Rhinolophus ferrumequinum: one gene and its partner. The protein of the gene in region 2 interacts with the protein of the main gene of each other region in a biochemical or structural test. Links are inferred from orthologs where the notes say so. Each region holds a gene or a part of one and is shown on either strand. Other genes may lie near its edges.

What was found. The genes of interacting proteins can lie anywhere in the genome.
Region 1: of the proteins of MAPT (region 2) and CAMK2A, one has a biochemical effect on the other in vitro, tested with the Homo sapiens proteins (2 studies listed by BioGRID). The link is inferred for Rhinolophus ferrumequinum from reciprocal best matches to the Homo sapiens genes MAPT and CAMK2A.

Annotation. Positions count from the first base shown.
Region 1 is NC_046307.1:22,513,718-22,524,060, reverse strand, and holds the start of CAMK2A (calcium/calmodulin-dependent protein kinase type II subunit alpha), read left to right. Parts: upstream 1-6,376; 5' UTR 6,377-6,589; coding exon 6,590-6,651; intron 6,652-10,343. UniProt on the Homo sapiens protein: Calcium/calmodulin-dependent protein kinase that functions autonomously after Ca(2+)/calmodulin-binding and autophosphorylation, and is involved in various processes, such as synaptic plasticity, neurotransmitter release and long-term potentiation.
Region 2 is NC_046304.1:40,898,698-40,908,932, forward strand, and holds the start of MAPT (microtubule-associated protein tau), read left to right. Parts: upstream 1-6,338; 5' UTR 6,339-6,582; intron 6,583-6,586; exon of another isoform or gene 6,587-6,677; intron 6,678-7,355; exon of another isoform or gene 7,356-7,461; intron 7,462-10,235. UniProt on the Homo sapiens protein: Promotes microtubule assembly and stability, and might be involved in the establishment and maintenance of neuronal polarity.

The DNA.
Region 1 (10,343 bases), on a different chromosome or scaffold from region 2:
ACGTGGGTGTGGGCACATGTGTCCTGAGGGCAGGGGTGAGCTCACCGCTGGCTGAGTGAATGGGAGAGGAGGTGGGCAGCTTGGCCATGCGGTGGAACATGTGGGTTCTGGTTCTGTCCTGGCACAGATCCACTGTGTGACCTTAGGCAAATTCCAGCCCTCTCTGGGCCTCAGTGCCCTATGTGTTCAGTGGATGATCTAAGAGCCCTGCCCTGTTGGCCACTCTGGGCTCGTGTGTGTGTGTGTGTGTGTGTGTGTGTGTGTGTGTTGGGGGCATGGGCTGAGTGGCAGGGGGAGGGACACGGGTGTTTCAGAGCCTGCTCGCTGCATAGCATGCCTCCATCCGCACACTGCGTTCTGCATCTCTCCCTTCAGGTTCCAGTGAGCACGGCGTGTGTAGGCGAAAGCCCTGCTGTGAATTTTGAAAATAGTTATTTTTGTCACTGGCAAAGGAGGCCTGTTAGGACTCGTCAGCTTGTGGATAAGCAGGACGGGTGGGGCGGGGTGGGCTGGGGTGGGGTGCGGTGCAGTGGAGGGGGTTCAGGTATTAGTTACAGAGCTGCGTCCCCCCTGCAGAGGTGGCTCAGCCCAGGAGTTAGTGTCTGGCCTGGGGCTGCAGGGCAGAGGTGACTGTCCATGTCCTGGAGCCCTTGCTCCCAGCCCTGTTCTCCACCTCTACAGCTGCCCCGCAACTAGAACCTTTGTCTTTCTCCAGGAAGTTGCTGCTGGGGCCGTGGTGGGCAGAGGGCAGGACTGGCTGAGGCCTCTGGATTCAGCCAGCCCTCGTGCTGGCTTAGGAGGGAGACTCGGAAGAAGTCACCCACTGGGATGGTGTCCCAGGCGCAGGATACTCCAGAAAGGGGTTGTCTGCAGTCTCCCCTTTACCCAGGATTCTCTAGCTCTGCCGGGGGGCTTGTCCCAACTGTGTGGGCTGTGCCCTCCCAGAGTGGCGGGGCTCCCCTGCAGCTCCAGGCTTGCGTCAGTTGAGTGGAGTCCTTGCCTGTACCTGCTGAGTAGGCCCTGCCCCAGATGACCCAGCCTCCAGCTCCAGGCCTGTTTCTCTTCTTGTGCCCCGGACTTTTGGGGCCACAAGTGCAGGACCATAGAAAGCCCTTTCTATTCTCCCCCAGGCACCAAGACCCACTCCCTGTGGCCTACCTGGCCTCAAACCTGGAGAGGTGGTGGGCTCCTGCTCCTGTTTCTGAGAAAGGTTCAGTCTAATCTCCAGCCCAGCCTAGAGCTTGCCTGGCTGAGTCCCACCTAAGCCAGAGCCCAGCAAACAGCCCAGGAGCCCCATTCAAGCTTCAGCCTGAGACCTGATCCACAGCCCAGCAGCCCAAGCCTGCCTAACCGGGGCCCTGGCAGCTGGCCTGGTTGAGTGACCAGGACTACGGGCATTGTGGTGAAAGGCTCAGCCCACTTGCTGTGGCTTCTACTCCGTCCAGCAGTCAGCATGGCACCTGCCATCCCTACCTGCCTCTCGTTCCCCCAAGTCAGGGCACCTGGGTCTGTACTCTGTGTCAGGCCCCTGACTGGCTTCATCAGGCAGATGCTTATACCACCTGTAGAGGGGAAGGATGCAAGGGAGGGGCGACCAGAGGCAGCTGGGGCCCCTTGGGTCACAGATCTGGGGGACTGGAGCCCAGAGATGCCAAATAAGCCCCTTGTTTCTCCCTTGGCTGGACCAGATCTGCCAGCCTGATGGGTTTGAGCCGGGGGTGGCCCTGTTTGAGCTGGGCTCTGCCTATGGAATCCGGGGCAGGGATGACCAGTACCCTAGGAGCCAGGAGAGAGCCCCAGACATGGCTGGAGAGGTAGAGCTCTGAGCCCCACCCTGGGCGTTGGCCCCATTTCCTCCTCTCACTCAGTGCTTACTGGCTACCTTGGGACCTAGGGAAGCAGTCCTGCGGTGTCAGAAAGAGGGAGGGCAGAGCAGGGGAAGAGGAGCACTATTCTGGGAGTTAGGGTTCTGAATTGTCCTGATCTGTCCCTGAACTTGTGTGACTGCAGAAAGGCAGCTTCCTCTCTCCCTGGGCCTTGGTCCCCCATCTGTAGGGCACATGGGCTCCCTCAGGGTCCGTCTAGCTCTAGTGGAGGCCAAAGAATCCAGGGCAGTGTGCTGAAGTCACACAGATCCCAGATGGATAAGTCACGTCATGTCTCTGCAAAACGGGCAATGATCATATATGTCTCACAGACGTTCCTTGTGAAGTATAAATAGTGCAGTAAGTGCTTAGCACAGGGCCTGGCTTGAAAGTGGAAATAAGTATTTTTCCTGTTCTTGGAGTCCATGAAGGAACATCTTGTCCCCATATTTCTTAGGAGGAAGTAGAGACCCCAATGGGGAAAAGATGTGCCATGGGCACTCACAGCCAATGGCAGGACTTGATCTTGGGTCCTCTGACCGTCGGTTGTGCTGTGCAGACGCTGCTATAGTAGCCGTTGTCCTCTGCCTCTTGGCTCCCTGCTTCCCTCTTCCTTGCAATGATTGCCTCCTACGTGGGATGCCTCAGGGGACAGTGCTGCTCCCTGACCCCTGACTTCTCTGCCTTCTGAGTACAAGTCTAGCATTATTTACTGCAATGAATTAATCAAATCACACTCTGCCCAGACCCTCTGCAGGATCATTTCTCTCTTGGCCCACTTTCCACCGATTCTGCCCCTTATGCTCACTGCCCTTAGTGGGACAGGCCTCGCGGGGACCCTTTGGATGTCACGTTTTCTGTGGTGCCTGCCCAGGCCCTGCAGGACCCTGAGGCACTCGAGCATGTGCACGTGAACATGTGTATGGGCCGGGGAAGGAGGGATTTGAGTTGGCTGTCACAATGCTACTAAGGCTCTGATCTCCTCCCAGCCCCCTCCACCGTGGCCCCGGTCCCCATTTGTCCCTCCCCATCCTCATGGCTTACACCCGGTATTCACTTTCATGTTCCCTATCCTAGAGTGTCAGAGCTGTGCTCAGCGACCTGGAGGGCTCCCACCCCTGGCCACCAGCCCGTGGCATGTAGGTCTGCTCTTGAGTACCGCACGCATGTTGCAGATGGGGGCACACGTGCTGGCTCGCCTGCCTGCGGAGTGGCCCTGGGGAGGAGAGAGTTTGGCAGGAACAGTCCTCCTGATGCAAGCATCGGCTCATTCTCTCAGAGCCATGGAGGCAGGGCCGGCTCCTCGCTGCCCGCTACCACTGGGCACAGCTGCCAGCCTTTCAGGCACAAGAGGAGGCAGTGAATTAACAGTGCCTCCTTGGCAGGGTGGCAGTTACACTCAGAATGGGGGTGCGGTCCAAGGCAGTGCCCACACCCCTGCACTAAGCTCTTGAAGGTTTGGAGGGGTGTGTGTGTGTGTGTGTGTGTGTGTGTGGAGAGTTGCCGAGGAGACCTGTTCCTTCCTGGTCTCCCTTCTCTCCCTCCCTCCATCGCTCCTCTCCAGCCATCTCTCCACCATCAGGATCCTGCGGCCTGGGTCCTGTGCGTCCGCCAGGACCAAATGCACAGGGTATGGGCCAGCACTGGGAGGAAAAGAAGAGTGACAGAAGAAGGGAGGCAGAAACAAGACAGGAGGTGAAACGGAACGGGAAGGATAGGGAGCACCGAGGAGGAAGGGCTCAAGGGAAGGAAGGAAGAAAATGGGGGAAAGGTGAGATAAAGAAAAAAGGAGAGCTGAAACGAGAGATGGAAGTAGGGAAGAACGGATGGACAAGGGAACAGCAGTGAAGGGTGGAGTGGGGCTGGGCTGGCCCTGCACCCTGAAGCCACATAGGTCAACTCCATGGTCGCTGTCACAGGCAGGGAGAAAGCTGGCCATCGAGGCCTCGGTCCCTTTATATCCTCCTCTGAGTCATCGCTGGCTCTTCCCGTGATGATGGAGGTACCTCCCCCATGTGCTCTGCTCTCTTCCTAACATGCCCCATTTCATGGGAGGTGAAGGGGAGGAAACAGGGTGGTGAGGCCAGCACCCAGCCAAGTAGCACTATGACCTCCTTTTTTCAGAACATTATAGTCCCATTAATATAGCCTCAGGCCTTGTGACCTTGTGACCTCTTGCCTCAGTCCTTTGTTCTATAGGAATTGCTGCAAACCAGGCTTGGACAAGGTGATGTTCCAATCCTGAGCTCCACTCCAGTGGGGACTCAGAGAACGACACCTCAAAGTGCTGGGACTTGAAGATGGTGTGTGCTTCCATGGTGCAGAGAGCAGTGTGAAGGGGGAGGGCCGTTTGAGTCCCGTGGTACTGATGATTTCCTACCTCCTTTGCAGATGAAGAAACAGAGGCACAGAGAATTTAGGGTACTCATTCAAAATCGCACAGCCTGTAGGCTGTGGAGTCTCTCTAACCACTGCTCAACACTGCCTCCCCTCTCTCCCGGGCAATGACTGGGTGGCTTCAGGGGTCATTAAGGGCTGTTCCAGAACTTTCATGTTGGAAGCCATCCCCTCCTGGGGATGGGCTAGAGGGTCTGGGGGCAGGAGCTGGTGGTACAGCCCTTCCCCCACTTCTCCACTTTACGCCTCTAGCCTCTACATGTTCCTTGTTTTGCCTGCTGCCCACTGGCTGTGCGCCCCAAGCACAGGCCTCTCTTCTTTGCCTCTGAATTGCAACGTTGGCGGCAGAAGCGGGAAGCATATTGTGCGCAGAGGAAAAAAAAACAAAACTGAGTGGTTTTTCCTTTTACTGAAGGTGGTAATGGTGCAATTAGTGGCTAAGCCATTACCCTTCCTCCCTTGTTCGCCTCCCCACCCTTCCCTTCTGCCCTCCTCACGTTTCTCTCCTGGGAAGAAATGGCTGCCTCGGAGAGCCAACCTCATTATTCCCACCCCTGGCTCCCAGGAAGAAGGGCAGAATTCAGGGGAGGGGGTATTCAATGTCTCCAGGCACCTGCTGGGTTTGGGGCTTACCAACAAGCAGACACCGTGTCCAGCAAGGGAAGTGACCAGGAAGGCAATTTGGAGGTTCAGAGGAGGTGGGCTAGGAACCCAGAGGGTTTGGATCCCGTTATTTGACCTGTGCTCATTGTGGGCAAATGCTGGCATGAGACCTCAGCCTGGTGGGCTGTGAAGTGCCCTTGAGTGGAGGAGGAGGGTGTGAAGGGTCTGAGATTCTAAGTCCAAGTTGGAGGGATGCAGGCGGCCATGGTCCTGCTTTAGACAGTCCCCTTTCCTCTTTTAGAGACTAAAAGGAGGCCTCCACAGTCATTAATCCACTCCATCTTCACAGCCTTCCTCTGCAGTCGCAGCTTTGTTCTCTTATGTAGAAAAGGAGCTGGGAGCTCAGAGAGGGGCAGTGACTTACCCAGGGTCACACAGCTAATAAGTGTTGGATGTGGAATTGAACTCAGGTCCTTAAACTCCAGTCTCCTTCTTCCTTAACCCCCCAGGACTCGGGGTAAGATTTTGGGGCCACAGATATGGCTATTGCCCTGAAGAGCTTAAGTCGGCTGGGAAAGTAACCACACAATTTGGGAATGAGGATTTCAGGAGAGCTCCATGGCCACGCCCCTCCATGCCAGGCCATGCTCCCCTCCCCACTGCCTCCTCCACCTCTTTCACCTTGACTTGAAGCACAAGCAGAATCTGGGACATGAGCCCCAGGAGACTGGATCTCCATGGTCCCTCTGGGGGCATGGCATGGGGGAGAGGTTATGGAAGAGGCCTCAGGAGGGGATCAACTGTTACAGCTGTGAGGGGTGAGGGTGAGCGGGTAGCCAGGGCTGTTCCCTCCAGAATCCTAGTGTCTCCTCTCCTCTGCACTTCCTCCCCAAGTTAGAGTGCCAGTGTGATGGCCAAGGTGTCAAAGTGCAGAGAGAGCAAGAGTGAAATGAGAAAGACAGGCAGAGGAAAAAAAATAAATGCAGAGGGAAGCAGAGAGACAGTTACAGAGACTATGGTGATCCAGAGAGAGATCCCAAAGAATTAGCCACCGTTTCCCTGTAAACCTTAGAATCCGGCTGTTGCCAAGACAACGGGGCAATACCTGTCTCTCCAGAGATGAAGTTGCCAGGGTAACTGCATCCTGTCTTTCCTGGGGACCATCCCGGACTGTGGCATCCACTGTTACCATGGCAACTGCCTTTTTGCCCCACTTAATCCCATCCTGTCTGCTATGAAGGCCCCACAGTTGGAGGTGGGGGAGGTGGGAACAGAGATCACTTGTGCACTAAGTTTGTTCTCCTCCCCCTGCTACAGCCCCTCCCCCGGTCCCTCACCTCGGGGGTGGGGGTGGGGGTGCTGGGTCCACCTGCCTCTGGGCCCACACTGGCCTGCAGTATTGTGTGCGGTTGGGCCAGGGCGTCCTGGAGCAGGTTTCATACTGGAAGGCAGGCAGGTGTTGGGGAGGCAGTTACCGGGGCAACGGGAACAGGGCGTTTCGGAGGTGGTTGCCATGGGGACCTGGATGCTGACGAAGGCTCGCGAGGCTGTGAGCAGCCACAGTGCCCTGCTCAGAAGCCTGGGGCTCGTCAGTCAAGCCGGTTCTAGGTTCTCACTCGGAAGCACGGGCAGGCAGGCGAGTGGCCCCTAGTTCCGGGAGCAGAACAGCAGTACCCCAGCCCTGGTCCTCCACCCCAAGCCTCGCCTGCCCGCCCAGCGCCAGGATGGCTACCATCACCTGCACTCGCTTCACGGAAGAGTACCAGCTCTTCGAGGAACTGGGAAAGTGAGTTGCACCCCAGAGTCCTGGAGGGCACAGGGGATTGGTGCCACGGGCAGGGATGTACACATGCGGTGCTTCCTGTGCTCAAACAGGGAGGAAGGCTGCATGTGTTTGGGAGCACTTGTATGTGCAGAGTGCCCAGAGGGAGCCATGGGCATATTTCCGGGTACACAGATGTGCCAAGGCCAGCTGGACGAATGTGTGTGTAGGGGTGAAGGGTTGATGGTGCATGCCAGGGAGTGCACACACACACACACACACACACACACACATACGCACACGACCTGGGCAAACACAGATTCTTAGAAACTCAGGGTTAGAAAGGGATTTTCCTGTTAGCTGCATCCAAGGCTGGAACCCCCTGTCGAGCTTCTCATGAGGTGGCCATCTGGCCTCAACTTGGATACCTGTGGTGACAGAGAGTTTACCACCTCAGGTAGTCCTTCATGACTTTAGAGACCTGCAGCGACTCTGCAGAGTGGCCAACTTCTCCCTGTGAGCACATCCTTTCCCCACTTTCCCCCTCCCAGCTCCTCTAGAAGTGAGGGCATTGGTACTGCAGGGGTTAATAACTGAGTGACTGGTGAGGCTTTCTGGGTGTTGGGAGGAGGGGAAGAGCAATCAGACAAGTTGGGGGGAGCACTGCTGTTGCAGGGGTTAGTGGTGTGATGGTACCCCAGCTCTGGGCCCTTGGCAAAGTTGTCCAGCCCCAAAGCTCATTTTCTGCCTTTCATGACTGGTGTGGAGAGATGGGTGGGAGGATGGAGGGAGAGGAGAGCCCCTTGGGATAGTCCAGCAGGCTGTGGAGTGTCAGAAGCATTGCTGGATGCCTCCGGCAGGGTTTGTGGAGGATCTGGGGATGGATCCAGGGGAAAGGTGCAGCTTGGAGGCAGAGTTTGCCCTGTGGGCAAAGCAGCTCCAATGTCTGGGTGGTTCTTGCTGTAGCAGCAGGAGTGCAGGGGAAAGGGGCCCTGTAAGTAGGGGTGTGCTGGTGTGAGATCTGGACATACGCAAGTGTGCATTTGATGTGTGTTGTATAAGGACTGTCTCTGGGGTACACTTGTGTGTGCTGACAGGGTGTGCATGTGTGTGCACCAAGAGGGTGTGCTGGTGTGTGCTTCATGTGTAAGGCCTGAGAATGCAAGTGTGCCCTGCAAGGGGGGGGTGTTGTATGCAAGGGGCACAAGGGCCGCTGTTGGCTGGTTTGCACGCGAGTGAAGGTGTGAACATGCGTCACTGTGTGCCCACGTATGGCAGGTCAGAGCTGTGTGTCCATCAGCAGGCTGACGTGGGTGAGGTGTGGGCATGTGCAGACATGTCTGTGTAAGGATGCACATCTGGGACGTGGGCACAGTGCTGCTCCTATGAGGTCACAGACATGCACATCTGGGTGAGGACTCAGGGCCGTGCACACGGGAAGTGTTATGTGCGTACGCGTGAGGCCTGGGCCCACAGGCTTGGGTGGGAGTGTGGGTGTTGTAGGCATGTGTGAGCTCAGGCTGGTGTCTGCATATGTGTGGGAGGTGGGCCTGTGGCTGTATGGAAGCAGGCTGCCTGCACACACACACACACACACACACACACACACACACACACACTTGCACACCAGGCAATCCGACACCTACAGGCCAGCTCCCTCGTTCCCTCATACAGACACACACCCAGGTGCAGCCGATGTGTGCTCACTCTGGTCTGCAGATTTCTTTCTGAGCGTGTTTTTGTGCTGGGGGTAGGGGGAGCAGGGAGAAAATGTGGAGGGACGCTCTGGAGGACCGAGGCTGTCCATCAGACATGTACAGGGACCCCCTTCTCAGCTGGTTTCCTGTGCCCACTGGAGCCCCAAGGATTCCCTGATGAGCTGGGAGCTGCCTTTCAAGGTGCAATCCAGGCTGGGTTCTGGGAGGGATGCGTCACAGAGTGCAGTGGAATGGAGTTGAGATGTGACTCAGGTGCTCAAAGTGAAAAGGAAAGTGATGTTTTGCCCCAAGAGGAGACGGGGATCCTGAAGGCTGGGTGCTGTGGGGGTGATTTGGCAGAGCGCTTCCTCAGCCCCACTACCTGCCAGGGTCCTTGGAGGGACAGGGGCCACAGCAGCACTTCAGGAGACAGGGAGTCCTGGTATGGCCATGGCAGGAAAACCGCAGGTGGCAGGCATGGCCAGACCTGTCTGATCAATTTCAGACCTCTTCCTTCCAGAACCATCTGTGCTTTTAACCTTTTTTAGGTCACATATTCCTCCAGGAATCTGATGAAAGGCTAAGTCTACATTCCTCAGGAAAATGCGCAAAACTACAAAATGCTGCATGCGATGTCAGGACATCAGGAAGGCTGTGGGTGGGCCTCAGGTTAAGGATGCTTGTATTGGAATAAAGGGGACGAGGCTCCACACCTCTGATGCCTGGGTCAAAAGGCCAGGGTACCACTGAGGAGGGGGGTGTCGCCTGCTCTGCACAGCAGCTTCAGTCCAAGTGCCCAGTGGGGCAGGTATGGGCAGTACTCGGAAGAGGGCACAGGCTCTAGACTTTACCACCCATAGCTCTGTGACATTGGGAAGGCTATGGCACCTCTCTCCCAACCCCCCGTCATCTGCAGATAAAAAAGGGCTGTGGGAATGAGATGAGATGGAGCCCGGGAAGATGTGGTAACAAACCTGCCACACAGCTTTTGAGAAAGGATCGCTTCCCAGGGCTGGACTTTGCCTGGCTTGGGAGAGGGGCTGACCAAACCCTGCCTCCCCTGGGCTGGCAGGGAGGCAACAGCTCTTCTTCTGTCTGGAGAAGCACCAAAGATACCTGCAGGGCCCAGCCTTCAACTGGTGACCACGGTCCCTGCAAGCCAGGACATTGCAGTCACCACACAGAAGCTGAGCCCCCGTTCCAAAAGCCCACTTCAGATGACTGGCAGGGTGATTGGCAGAGGCAGCTGGGTGGGCTCTACAAGAAGACATGGGAGCCTTGGCCCTCCTTCTGCAGGGCCCTGGACGGCCCAGCTGGACGGGAGGGCACGTGTCTCTCGAGGGCTTCCTGGAGCTCAGCCCTGTGAGGCCTGGCTTGTGACTGCAGCCTTTGCTTCGAGTAGCCCGGGGGGAGGGCTGGCTCTGGATGTAAGAGAAGCTGCCTCTCTCCTGCCTGGTGGGCAGCCATTTGGGGGTGTGTGGGCTGGAGTCAGAGCCCTGGGCAGGGGCTTCTGAGGCCTCTTGATACTACGGGAGGAAGGTCCCACTGCAGCATCTGATTCAGATCAGCTAGGACTTGATTCCAGGTCCCCTAGAGGGTTGAGGTGGGGCTGTCACTTAGGTCTCAGAGCGTAACTCACTCTTTCCTCCCTTGACCCCAATCCTCTTTCCTCCCAGGGGATGAGAGAAATGAAAACCCAGCCCTTAGGAGCAGAGAAGCTTGTTGGGAGGCAGGCTGCAGCAAAGATACCAGCTCAGTGTCAGAGTGGGCCTGGGCAGCTGGACCAGAGCTCTTGGCAGATGGGTTTTCTCTAAAGAAGACCAGCCTCAGGGAAAGGGGTCAGGTTCCAGGAGGTGGAGAAGGACAATGCCTCCTCCAGCCGCTGACATTCTCTGGGCTTTGGATCCCACTCCCAGGAGAGGTTAGGGAGGCCGAGAATTGCCCTGCAGCCTGTGTAATCACCAGGCTGTACAGAAAGGGCCTCTGAAGGAGAATATTACTTGAGAGAAGGAGACGGAG
Region 2 (10,235 bases):
ATATAGTGACAATTTTTTTCTTGTGATGAGAACTTTTAGGATTTACGAGTTGTCTTAGCAACTTTCAAATATACCACAGAGTAGTGTACATTACATCCCATTTTTAGAATTCTGACTACATCGTCCATAGGGTAGGATTGTGCAACTGATGGCAGGGTTTATGTGAAAGGGATTTCTGCTCAACTTTTTTCAAGTATTGTATGTGGGGCTCCGCTCTGAATCCTCCCCACATTACCTGACACTCCCTGAGGCAGGATATCCAGAGTGTCTGGGCAAAGCCAAATATAAGGAGAGGATGACCTCATGGACCTATTATGCCTGCTCCTATTTCTGGGCCCAGGATCATCCTGGCCTTTCTGACAAGAATGCCGTGTTGCTGAGTCATGTGTAACCGAAACCCCGGTTGGCATTTCATCCTGCTTCTTGCCAGAACCCAGGGAATCTAGACAAGGGGGTTGGCATTGCCCTGGCAATGGAGGGAAGGAGAGGTAGGCAGGAGGCATTCAGGAAATATAAAGACAGAAAGGAACACTTGAGCCTAAAGAATAATTATGAAAGAGAAGTCTAGAGAAATTAAGGCATAGATCTGTCTTACTTTATATAATTAAGGTGTTTATAAACTTGCATGTAAATCAACTCACATTTCAGTTGTAACAGGGTAACTGACATTTAAGGAAACCTGGTGATGGTTCCTTTTGTCTAGCAAAGCATTTGTCTGTAATGTTAATACTCACTTCCTAATTTAATTGCATTATATTGGTATTTCTCTATGTTGGCTTTGAGAGAGGACAGTAGGTGTCTCATCAAAGCACCATACCTAGCCCACAATTAGGCAAAACAAATACATTTGGGGCTGTCTAAACAGGCTGGGAATCTGGATCTCTGACTTTGTAACTGAAAATAAAGAAATGTTGGTCTTCAAGGCTGTCATCTGTCTCACTAGAAAATGCCTTATCATGAAAAGTATTTTCAGGAAAATATTTCAAAGGGAAAGAATGTGCTGCTCGTGCATAGCTAGGAGGAACTGCTAAGGGAGATGGCTTCTTAGCATAATTGTGGCTAATACTCCACATCTCCTTCTCCCCCTGTATCTGGTATTTACAAGTAGCTGATCACAAGGCCCTCTGTAATAAAGACTACATTTCCCAGCCTCGGTGGCAACAATGTGTAGCCATGCACATATTCTGGCCAATAGGGTGTTAGCAAGAGTAACAAGTGTGATTTATAGGAATTGTCCTTAAAAGATAGAGATGCTCCCTTTTTTATCTCTTCCTTATTTCTGGGGATGTGTTGTCTGGAGCTGAAGCAGCCACTTTGGACTAATGAGACAGCAAGCGAAGGATGATACAGAAATGAAATAAACAGATATGGGCTCCAAGAAGGTCTTAGAGTTTCTAAAACAGCCCTTGACTCCTATTCCTGGAGAAATACAATTGAGTCTTGTTTAGACCACAGCTGCTTCGCATTTTTGTCACACAGAACTGAATATAAAACGAATTGACCCAGAATTAAGGAAATGCTCATTTCACCTCATTGTAACCTTTATTTCATTCAATTTAATGGACTTATTAAATCCTCACTACATAGAAAAAGAAGATAAAGGCTGTTAACCTGAGGGTCCAGAAACTTGGAGACAAAAAAGTTCACCTTTATTTTTATAACCTGTATTGGAATTTAGCATTTCAGTAATCAATGTAGTATTAACAGTATCTGTGACTTCATCACTAATAGATATTTTCTTTGCACGGTACATGTGTCAGAGATATTTCAAAATGTCATTTATACTTACCCCTATTTGAAATTGGGAAAGTAATTAAACCCACTGCTAGATTTTATTATTTAATGCATTCATGAAGATGCAGGCAAGGTTCTCTGGGAAGCAGATTCTGAGACAGAGTCCAGCATGCGAGATATTTAGGCAGTACCCTTGGGATCGATAGCTGTGGAAGGGAGAGGAAGGAAGCAGGATTGTGCAAAAGGAGAAGTCAAGCTGTGATACAGGCCCAACCAGCCTCAGCGAACCACCTGGGGATCTCAGAACCCAAAATGGACCATCAGAGTTGCCCCAGGTTGAACATTTATCTGCCCACCTGGGTCGGTCAGCCATTAGATATGGGGTTACCGTAGACATCTTCTTCCCTGAGGGGTCGGTGCCATAGTCACCATGTCCTTCTGTGGTAAGCAGAGTAATGCCCTGATCAAAGATGCTCATGTCCTGACCCTTGGAACATATGAATAAATTACCTTATATGGCAAAATGGATTTGAAGCTGTGATGAAATTAAGAATCTTGAAATGAGGAGATTATCCTGGATTATTTGGGTGGGCCCAGTATAATCACAAGGATTGTAAGTGAAACAGGGAGGCAGGAGTGTCCCAGTCAGAGAAGATGTGACAACAGAAGCAGAGGTTGGAGGGATGTGATTGCTGGCTGGGGACCACCCACCAAGGAACAGGGCAGCACCCAGAAGCTGGAAAAGCCAAGGAAACAGACTCTTCCTCTGCACCTCCAAGAGGACGGCAGTCCTGCCAACACCCCATGAGGTTTGCTTGATGAGACTCATTTTGGACTTCTGACTTCCAGAATTGGAAGGCAAGGAGTTTACTTTGTTTTAAGTCACTAAGTTTGGGGTCATTGTTACAACAACAACAGGAAACTAAAACACTTTCTCAGGCTAGGGTGGACGTTTCTGTCTTTTAACAAAAGGGAATACCAAGAGGTGCCCAAGTGACAAATGTATCCTCCCCGTGTTTTGGTAGCAGTCCTACTTCCTGCGGATGATTGAAGTCGGTTATTCCTGCCAGGACAGTACCTTCTGTTCTTGCCTGCTGCTCTCTGGACCCAAAGTGCTCAGGCAGCAGCCATCGCTTATAGTTCAGTGAAACCTTTGCTGTGTCCCCTGGTGGAAGCTTCCCCTTTGGGGGACCTCTATCCCTGCAGAGCCTACACTAGTGAGGATGGGAAGCTCAGATTCCCCCCTGGGGTCACCTGGGAATGTTGGGAAGTGGGACCACTTCAGCTTCCACTCCTTGGTTCCTAGATCCATGTATTCTTTTCCTGTTTGGACTTTTATAAATTCTATAGGTATCGGACTCTTAGTTCCAATCCTACCTGGGACACTGCTACATAAAAAAATGGGAGCCCAGAGAAGTTAATGAATTTGTCAAAGATCACACAGCACAGCTAAGATTGGGACCCAACTCTTTTGAAACCTAATCCAGTTCTCTTTCCCTGTGCGATTCTACCTTCTATGCTTCTTTGTGATGGGCCTTGCGTGCTGAATTGGCCAGATCTCTATTTCAGCAAGAGGGAGGGGCAGGGAGAAAGGGAGAGGATGCATTTTCTTGACCTAGAGAGCCATTAGCTACCTCCAGTGATTAAATTATCTGGAATGAACACTCAGCTCCACATTACATACAGTTAAATGATGGATCTGCTTAAGATGGTTTCTAGCATTCATTACCTCAATTGAATGTAGGCAAATGTGTTCATTCAGTATCAGGAGATCACTGTGTTATCGGGTCCCAGTCAGTTCTTAAAGGAAAGAAAACGAGAAAATTGAATGGGAGGAGTGTTAATTTGACTGCTACAGTTTATTTTACATATAGAAAGAATGTATAGCCAAAGCACTGATGGGGATGCTGAAATAACTGCTAGTTATCATTTAATGGATGTCCACTATTTGTCAGGTACTTTACATGAGAAACTTTACACACACATACTGTGTATAAAATATATATATATACATACAGTTTAATATATATATAATATATATAATGGGGATTAAACTGTAGTTTTGCTGTGATAACAAACATCCCTCAGAATCTCAGTGACTCACCCTGTAAATGTCTATTTCTTGCTCATGTTACTATACATGTTATATGTACTTCCTTGTGTCTGTTCATTCTGGGACCTATGCTGAAGGAGCAGCCCCACAGGGCATGCCATTCTGGTGGTGGAGGGGACCATCGCGGTGGTGCAGGGGACAAGTAAAAGTGGTAGAAACTCACAATGCCTCTTAAAGCTTTTCGTTGGACATGTCTACATCATGCCCCTTAGTTCTAGTTGCCACAGACCACCACGTGGCCAGACCAAATATGAGTGGTCTGGGAGTGGAGAGTGGGAGCAGTACAGATCACAGGGTAACAGGAAAGGACAGATAATCCCCATACAGGAAAAGGAGAAAGGACACAATTGGCAGCAATAATGAAGCTGCAGTCTTGCAAGACTGATATTAATTCCTCTCTCCCCTTCACTTCAGAGATGAGTAACTTTGCTAAGCCTTCCTAGAGGAGATATCCCTTCCAGCTGGGGTGATTACAAGGCTTTAGAACATTTGAGCGAGGGTTTGAAGGTTAAATAGGATATTTGGTGCATGGAGAAAGAGCAAGGACTTTGTAAGCAGAGGAAAACCCCCGAGTTGAGGTGGGGAAGAGTTCCAATCAAACAAGCTAAGTTGGTCATAGAGTAGATGAAAGAGAAAACTGGAGAGGACAGGGGCTCAGATGAGGGGGTGGGGAGGGACAGAGGGTTTGAATGCTGAGGAATTTAAGGCTAAGAAGTTTCACTTCACTTAGGGGTCAGTTAGAAGCCTTTAGATATTTTTGAGCAAGAGAGTGTCGTGATTAAAACGATTGCTTCTGAAGATTTGTCTGATTAGGGGGTTCAAGGTGGGCTGATACAGGGAGAAACAGAGAGCAGGGAGACCGGTAAGGTCACTACATGTCCAGTGCCAAGGTAAGAGTCTTTAACGAGGACCATGAGAGTTGGGACAACAAAAAGGTCACCAGAGATTCAGAACGAGTCGTTTAAGAAATGTGCCCCATCTCTAGCATCCACCCAGTGCTTCCCCGTCAATAAAAAATTTTTAATAGCCTGCTTTTTGTATTAATCTATAACAAAAAATATTGATTTAAAAAATATAAATGTAAGAGCCATGCAAATTAAAGCTTCAAAACAAGTTCCCATCTCCCTAGGACAAGATGCCCCCCACCAAACTCCCATACTTATAAAGCCTCCCACTGCCAGGGCTTACATTAGATGTTGGGGAGACCAAGCTAAGATCCGTTCAAGAACCAAATTCAATGGAGTAGATTTTAAAGATCTAATTGGCTTTCTTGAGCAATGCATACATCAGGCAGCATCCCATCCAGCCAAGTAGAAAGGAGCCCTGAGAAGTTGGTAGGTTTTTATAGGCTGGCAGTGGGCAGGACAAGAAAGTTATTACCAAAAGGAAAGAAAGGATCTTTTCAGCCAAGGGCACTTTTCTTTGAGGGAAGGGCGGAAAGGGTCTTATTAGGCAGATTACCTCTCACTAGTGTTGATCAGGAAATTCCAGACTGATTGGTGGTTTAAAATTCCACTCCTGGGAGAGGCTGAAACTGCAATGAGGTATTTATTAATAGTTTTCGTTTTGGTGAAGTGGCATAGCACAAGTGACTCCATTTTGGGCATGTCATCTCTTTCTTCACAGGCCAATGCTGGGAACTGGGTGACCAGGAGAATGAAAACTTCTGGTCAGTTTCAGTGTGTTATCTAGGTGAGAATCTCCATGAGCACTTAGCACTTCCGATCTCAAACTCTACTTACAGTATAACCGTGTGTCAAGAAACAAGATCAAAATAACTGTATGTGTGAAAATGCTTTGCAATGTGATTAGCGCCGCCATTTGGACCTTTGTCTAAGATTTTATTCTCGGACACCGTTAAAAAATAGATGGAAATGGTCCTTGTTAAAAAAAAAAAACACCACAACACTACTCTTACAACTGAATTAGCCTGTTTGATGAGGATTGGCGAAGGAAAGCATTCACCTTGATCAATAACAAAAAAGATGGAAAAAAAGCAGGTTGAAAGGAAGCAGGCCCAGGGAAACTGATCTCCAACAAGGGGGACCATTTCCGGAGACTCAAAGGAGGGTCAGGGTGCCCGGTAGCGATAAGCCGGCCAAACTTGGAGGACTGGGGTGGACCCTCTGGGGAGCGGTCATGTGGAAACCCGCCCAGGACGTTCTGAGATAGGACATCACTCCCGGGACAAAAAGGAAAAGGGCAGCAGATCTGGAAGCGGAGCACCGCAGCCTCTTCCAACCACAGTAGGAAACCAAGCCTCCCTCCCGAGGGAGAAGACCCTTCAGACCAGACAAAGGGTCCAGCCGCCAGAGGTGACCCAGAGCACGCGTGCGCCACGGAGCGCGCGTGCGCGTGGCAGTCCGTGCCGCGGCCCGAGTCGTGGGGGGAGGAAAGACAGGGAAGGGAAGCGCCGGGAGCAGCGAGCCAGGAGGCTGGGGACAGCGAGCCGTGAGGCGCTCGCGCGCGCCCACTAGTGGCCGGAGGAGAAGACGCCTGCGGAGGCCTCGCCGCCCGCCCCTCCTCAGGGAAGACTCGCGTTCCCGCTGCTCGCGCCTGCGCCGCCCGCCGGTCTCGGGAGCGCGCCCTCGCTGGTGCGCGCGCTCGCAGTCTCCGTCACCCACCAGCTCCGGCACCAGCAGCAGCACCGCCGCCACCGCCCACCTTCTGCCGCCGCCACCAGACACTTTATCCTCTGCTTTCCTCTTCTGCCCTCGCTCTCTGTCGACTATCAGGTAAGCGCGAGGCTCCGAAAGGTGCCTCCCCGTCCGCCTCCTGCGCCCCCATGTTGCCGCCCCTCGCCCCCTGCCTCAGAGATGGATTTCCTGAGGTGAGCATTGGTCGGGGGCAACGGCGGGGGCCCCTCCTTGCGCCCTCGGTGCTCCGGGGCTGGGCCTGGGGTGGCTTGGAAACGCACCCATGCAAGAGATGCACACACGCGTGTGAGTGTGTATGTGTGTGTGTGTGCGTGTGTGTGCTGGGGTTCCACAAGACCCGCTTCGCGCGGACCCGGGCAGAGGTGCCCGCAGGGTGGGGCGCGGGTGGCGGTGACCTGGGGGAGGGGGCTGCTATACACTCTCAATCGCCGCCTTTTGCCGCAATGGGCGTGTGTCTAAGTGTGTGTCCGGGGGCGTCCAATGACGACCCCCGAAATCGATCTGGAATCCGATTTCTCTGTCTCGGTTTGCCATCAGCCCTAAGGAAGGTATGGATTGGGTTCTAGAAAAGATGACTCCCTGCCTGCCCCTCCCTTCACCTCCTCGGCAGCAATTCCAATGGGGCTTTTCGCTGTCCCTGATTTAAGGCGGTGGCCCACCTCCCTCCCCGTTTTCCTCCTTCAGAAACCCGCAGGGGACATTTGGGGGCTGGGAGTGGAATCGGGGAGTTGGGGAGGGGTCCAGGCGCTGTCACTTTAGTTGCCCTTCCCCCTGCGCGCGCCTGGCACCGAGACGCGAGCAGCGCTGTGCCCGAGAGAAGGCAGTGCGCGGAGAGATGTGGAGGCTCGAAAGACAGGGGTCACCTGGCCTTGCTCTGTGGAGGGACTCGGCCCCGCGGATCCTGCCTCGCGGGCGCTCACAGCCCCAGCCCCTCACAGATCGGCACAGAGGCTGCAGGTGCACTTCGGGGCGGTCCCCTTTCTCTGCGCTCTGCGCCCGGCGTCCGGCGTGTGCGCTCCCTGCCGGAGGCGCGGGGCTGGCGCGCAGGGCTCGCCCCTCACTGCGGCAGTGGGTGTGGACCCGGGTGGGCGAGGAGGGGGAGGGTAGGCTGTGCCTCCTCCCACTCCCACCCCCGCTTTTTTTCCCCCTCCGATCGCGAGGTGCCATCTTTTTGCGGCGTGCCATGTCTTTACGGTACCACACCAAGCCGGGTGGCCGGGCTTCGAAGGGCAAGGCGGGGACTGTCATTAAGGGTGGGTGGAGGGTGCATTCAGCGCTGAAATCGTGGCGTTTTGCTGCTGAGGGCTTGAGCTTTGGGGGCGTTCCCTCGAGATTTTCCTGGTGGCTCGCTGCTTTGTTTGTAGGGCTAACGTGATCAGCGTTGCCAGCCTGGGTTTTTGCCTTTTATTTTATAAGGGTGTTTAACCAAGGCCCCCCCCGCCCCTTCTCCCGTGTTTCGCCCCTCATTTCTGAGCCCTTTGTTAGATTTCGGGGCTTGCTGGAGTCGATGAACTCGAGTCACGGCCTCGGAGGTACGCGTGGAACCGGCTTGACCCTGCCCGGCCCACTATCAGAGCCAGGCCGCCCGCCAGGAAGCATCCGCGGGGCCGCAGGGGTGGGATTCCGGGTCTCCTTGCGCTGTGCGGGTGTCAGCGGAGGGACAACGCCCCTCCCCATGCCCCGAGTGTCCTGGGTCCCATACCCCACCAGGCTGCCCCCGGAGGGGCACCCGAGGGGGCGGTAGGAGGGGGCACGCAAGCGGGATCCCCTCCCCGCTTCACTCCCTGTTGCCTGGCCAGGCGGGAGAAAGTGAGGAGGGGGCAAGAGGTTTCCCCGGTTGCTGCGGGCCACACCCATTTTTCCGGAGCCGACTGGGAGGGGGTCGTTAGGGGAGGTGTTGCCTTGGAAACAACACGCGTCTTGAGAACAGCCTTTGGGGCGTTGCCCCGCCCCTTCCGATCGGAGAATTAGAACTCCCGGGTACCAAGAGCCGTGCCCCCTCTGGGGGCTCCGTAGGGAAACCCACAAACTGGAGCCGTTGGCTCTTCCTAATTGGCTTCCCGCGGCCATCGGCTCCCAGACAGGCGTCCCTGGTGTATTATTATTCTTGTGGCCGAATATCACTTATCACTTAGGAACCCGAATTCACTGCGGCCCTTGGAAAAGGGAACGAGGGGAGAGGAGTGGGGTACCGACCCCTGGCGAACAAGGCCGAGCCTTGCCCTTCTGTAACGGCCCGGGTCCGCGCGTCTTTCTGGTTAATTACATCGCTGAAAACTGGCGCGAGGGCGCTGTTCTGAGAGGGACGAGCATTTTAGGGGCCGAATCATCCACGCAAGCCGCGCAGATTGATCTGAATATCCGGGGAATGGCTCGGCTCGGAGTCGAGAGTCTTCCCCCGGGCCTGGCCAAACCTTCCCGGCTGTGGCTGTCAGGTCAGAGCCGCGGCTCTGCTCTCCCCTCCCTTCCCGCCCCACTCCCCGCCTCCGCAGAGCTGGGCTCGCCACCGGCAGGTTGCTGGACAGGCTCAAGGGTCGATTCCAGCATCTTTTCCCCTCTAGCCACCCTCCTCCCGAGCTGAACATGGGATTCTGGTTCCAGACAGAGTGAGGGGCGAGGGGCGGCCATGGAACTGGGAGCCCGCGGCCTGGGGCAGACCACAGGCGGGTGTCACCTCCTGTCGCTTGGGGGAAAGGGAACCCGGCGGGGGCGAGCGCATTTAGCCCAATACCTGGAACAAAGCGCCGTGCACGCGTTTGCGATTTCGCTCCATTTTGGGATCTGTAGGTGGCTTGGTGGAGTTCTCGGGTTTGCAAGGTCTGGGGGCTGTGAATGGAGGAATCCCGGCGGCCAGAGAATGGTCCTTCATACCCGATCAGGAAACTCCATCCCTGGCTCTGCGCGCGCTGTAACTAAACGACAACCCCCCAAGATGTGGAGGGATGCAGCGTCTGTGCACACGCTCCGACTGTGGAGCGCTGAGCCAGCCGGAAACGTCCTGTCTCGGAATCCCCAGCAGGTCGGGGCACTTTTACATCCCGGGAGACCCCACTTGGCCTTCGGCGCACAGGAACCTCTAACTCCAAGCCCGGGTCTTGGGCTGGTGCGAGTTGGGATGGAGGACGGCACCTGAGACAGCGACTGCCAGGCCTACGTGCGCGCTCAGGCTCAGCAGGAGGGCTTTGAATTTTTATCAGATCCCTTTCCCTCCATGTGACCCGTCCTCCGAAAGAACGAGAAATGCCTTTCCTGTCATAATTAATTAAGGGATTATTTTTCGTTTTGTGATGCTGCTTATGTTTACCACATAAGAATTGTTAATCCGTTTTCCCCTCTCCAAACCCTTCCTCTGAACGAATAAATATTAATAAAATAAACGTCCCTCCCGGTGCCCAGTCCAGAGTGAATATTGAAGCTAATCAATTCCTTGACAGACATTTATTTGCTTCTGGTTGGTTTTCTGCAATGACCTGGCTTGACTCTTTGGGATTCGCCTTTGGACAATTTGGGGGAGAGGTTTGTTGGCTTTGCTGTTTTTTGGATGAGTGACAGTCCATGACTGTGTGTCCATCCCTAACTCCAACCGGACTTGGTCTGCACACACCCATCATAGAACGGTGTGGCTTTTACGTGGTTTCTAGTATCAGGCACCGCTCCTGACAGGAACAAAAGAAATGGATTATTCCCACAAATTGCAAGAGGAAAACGTAGAATTGGTTTCCTAGAGGAAG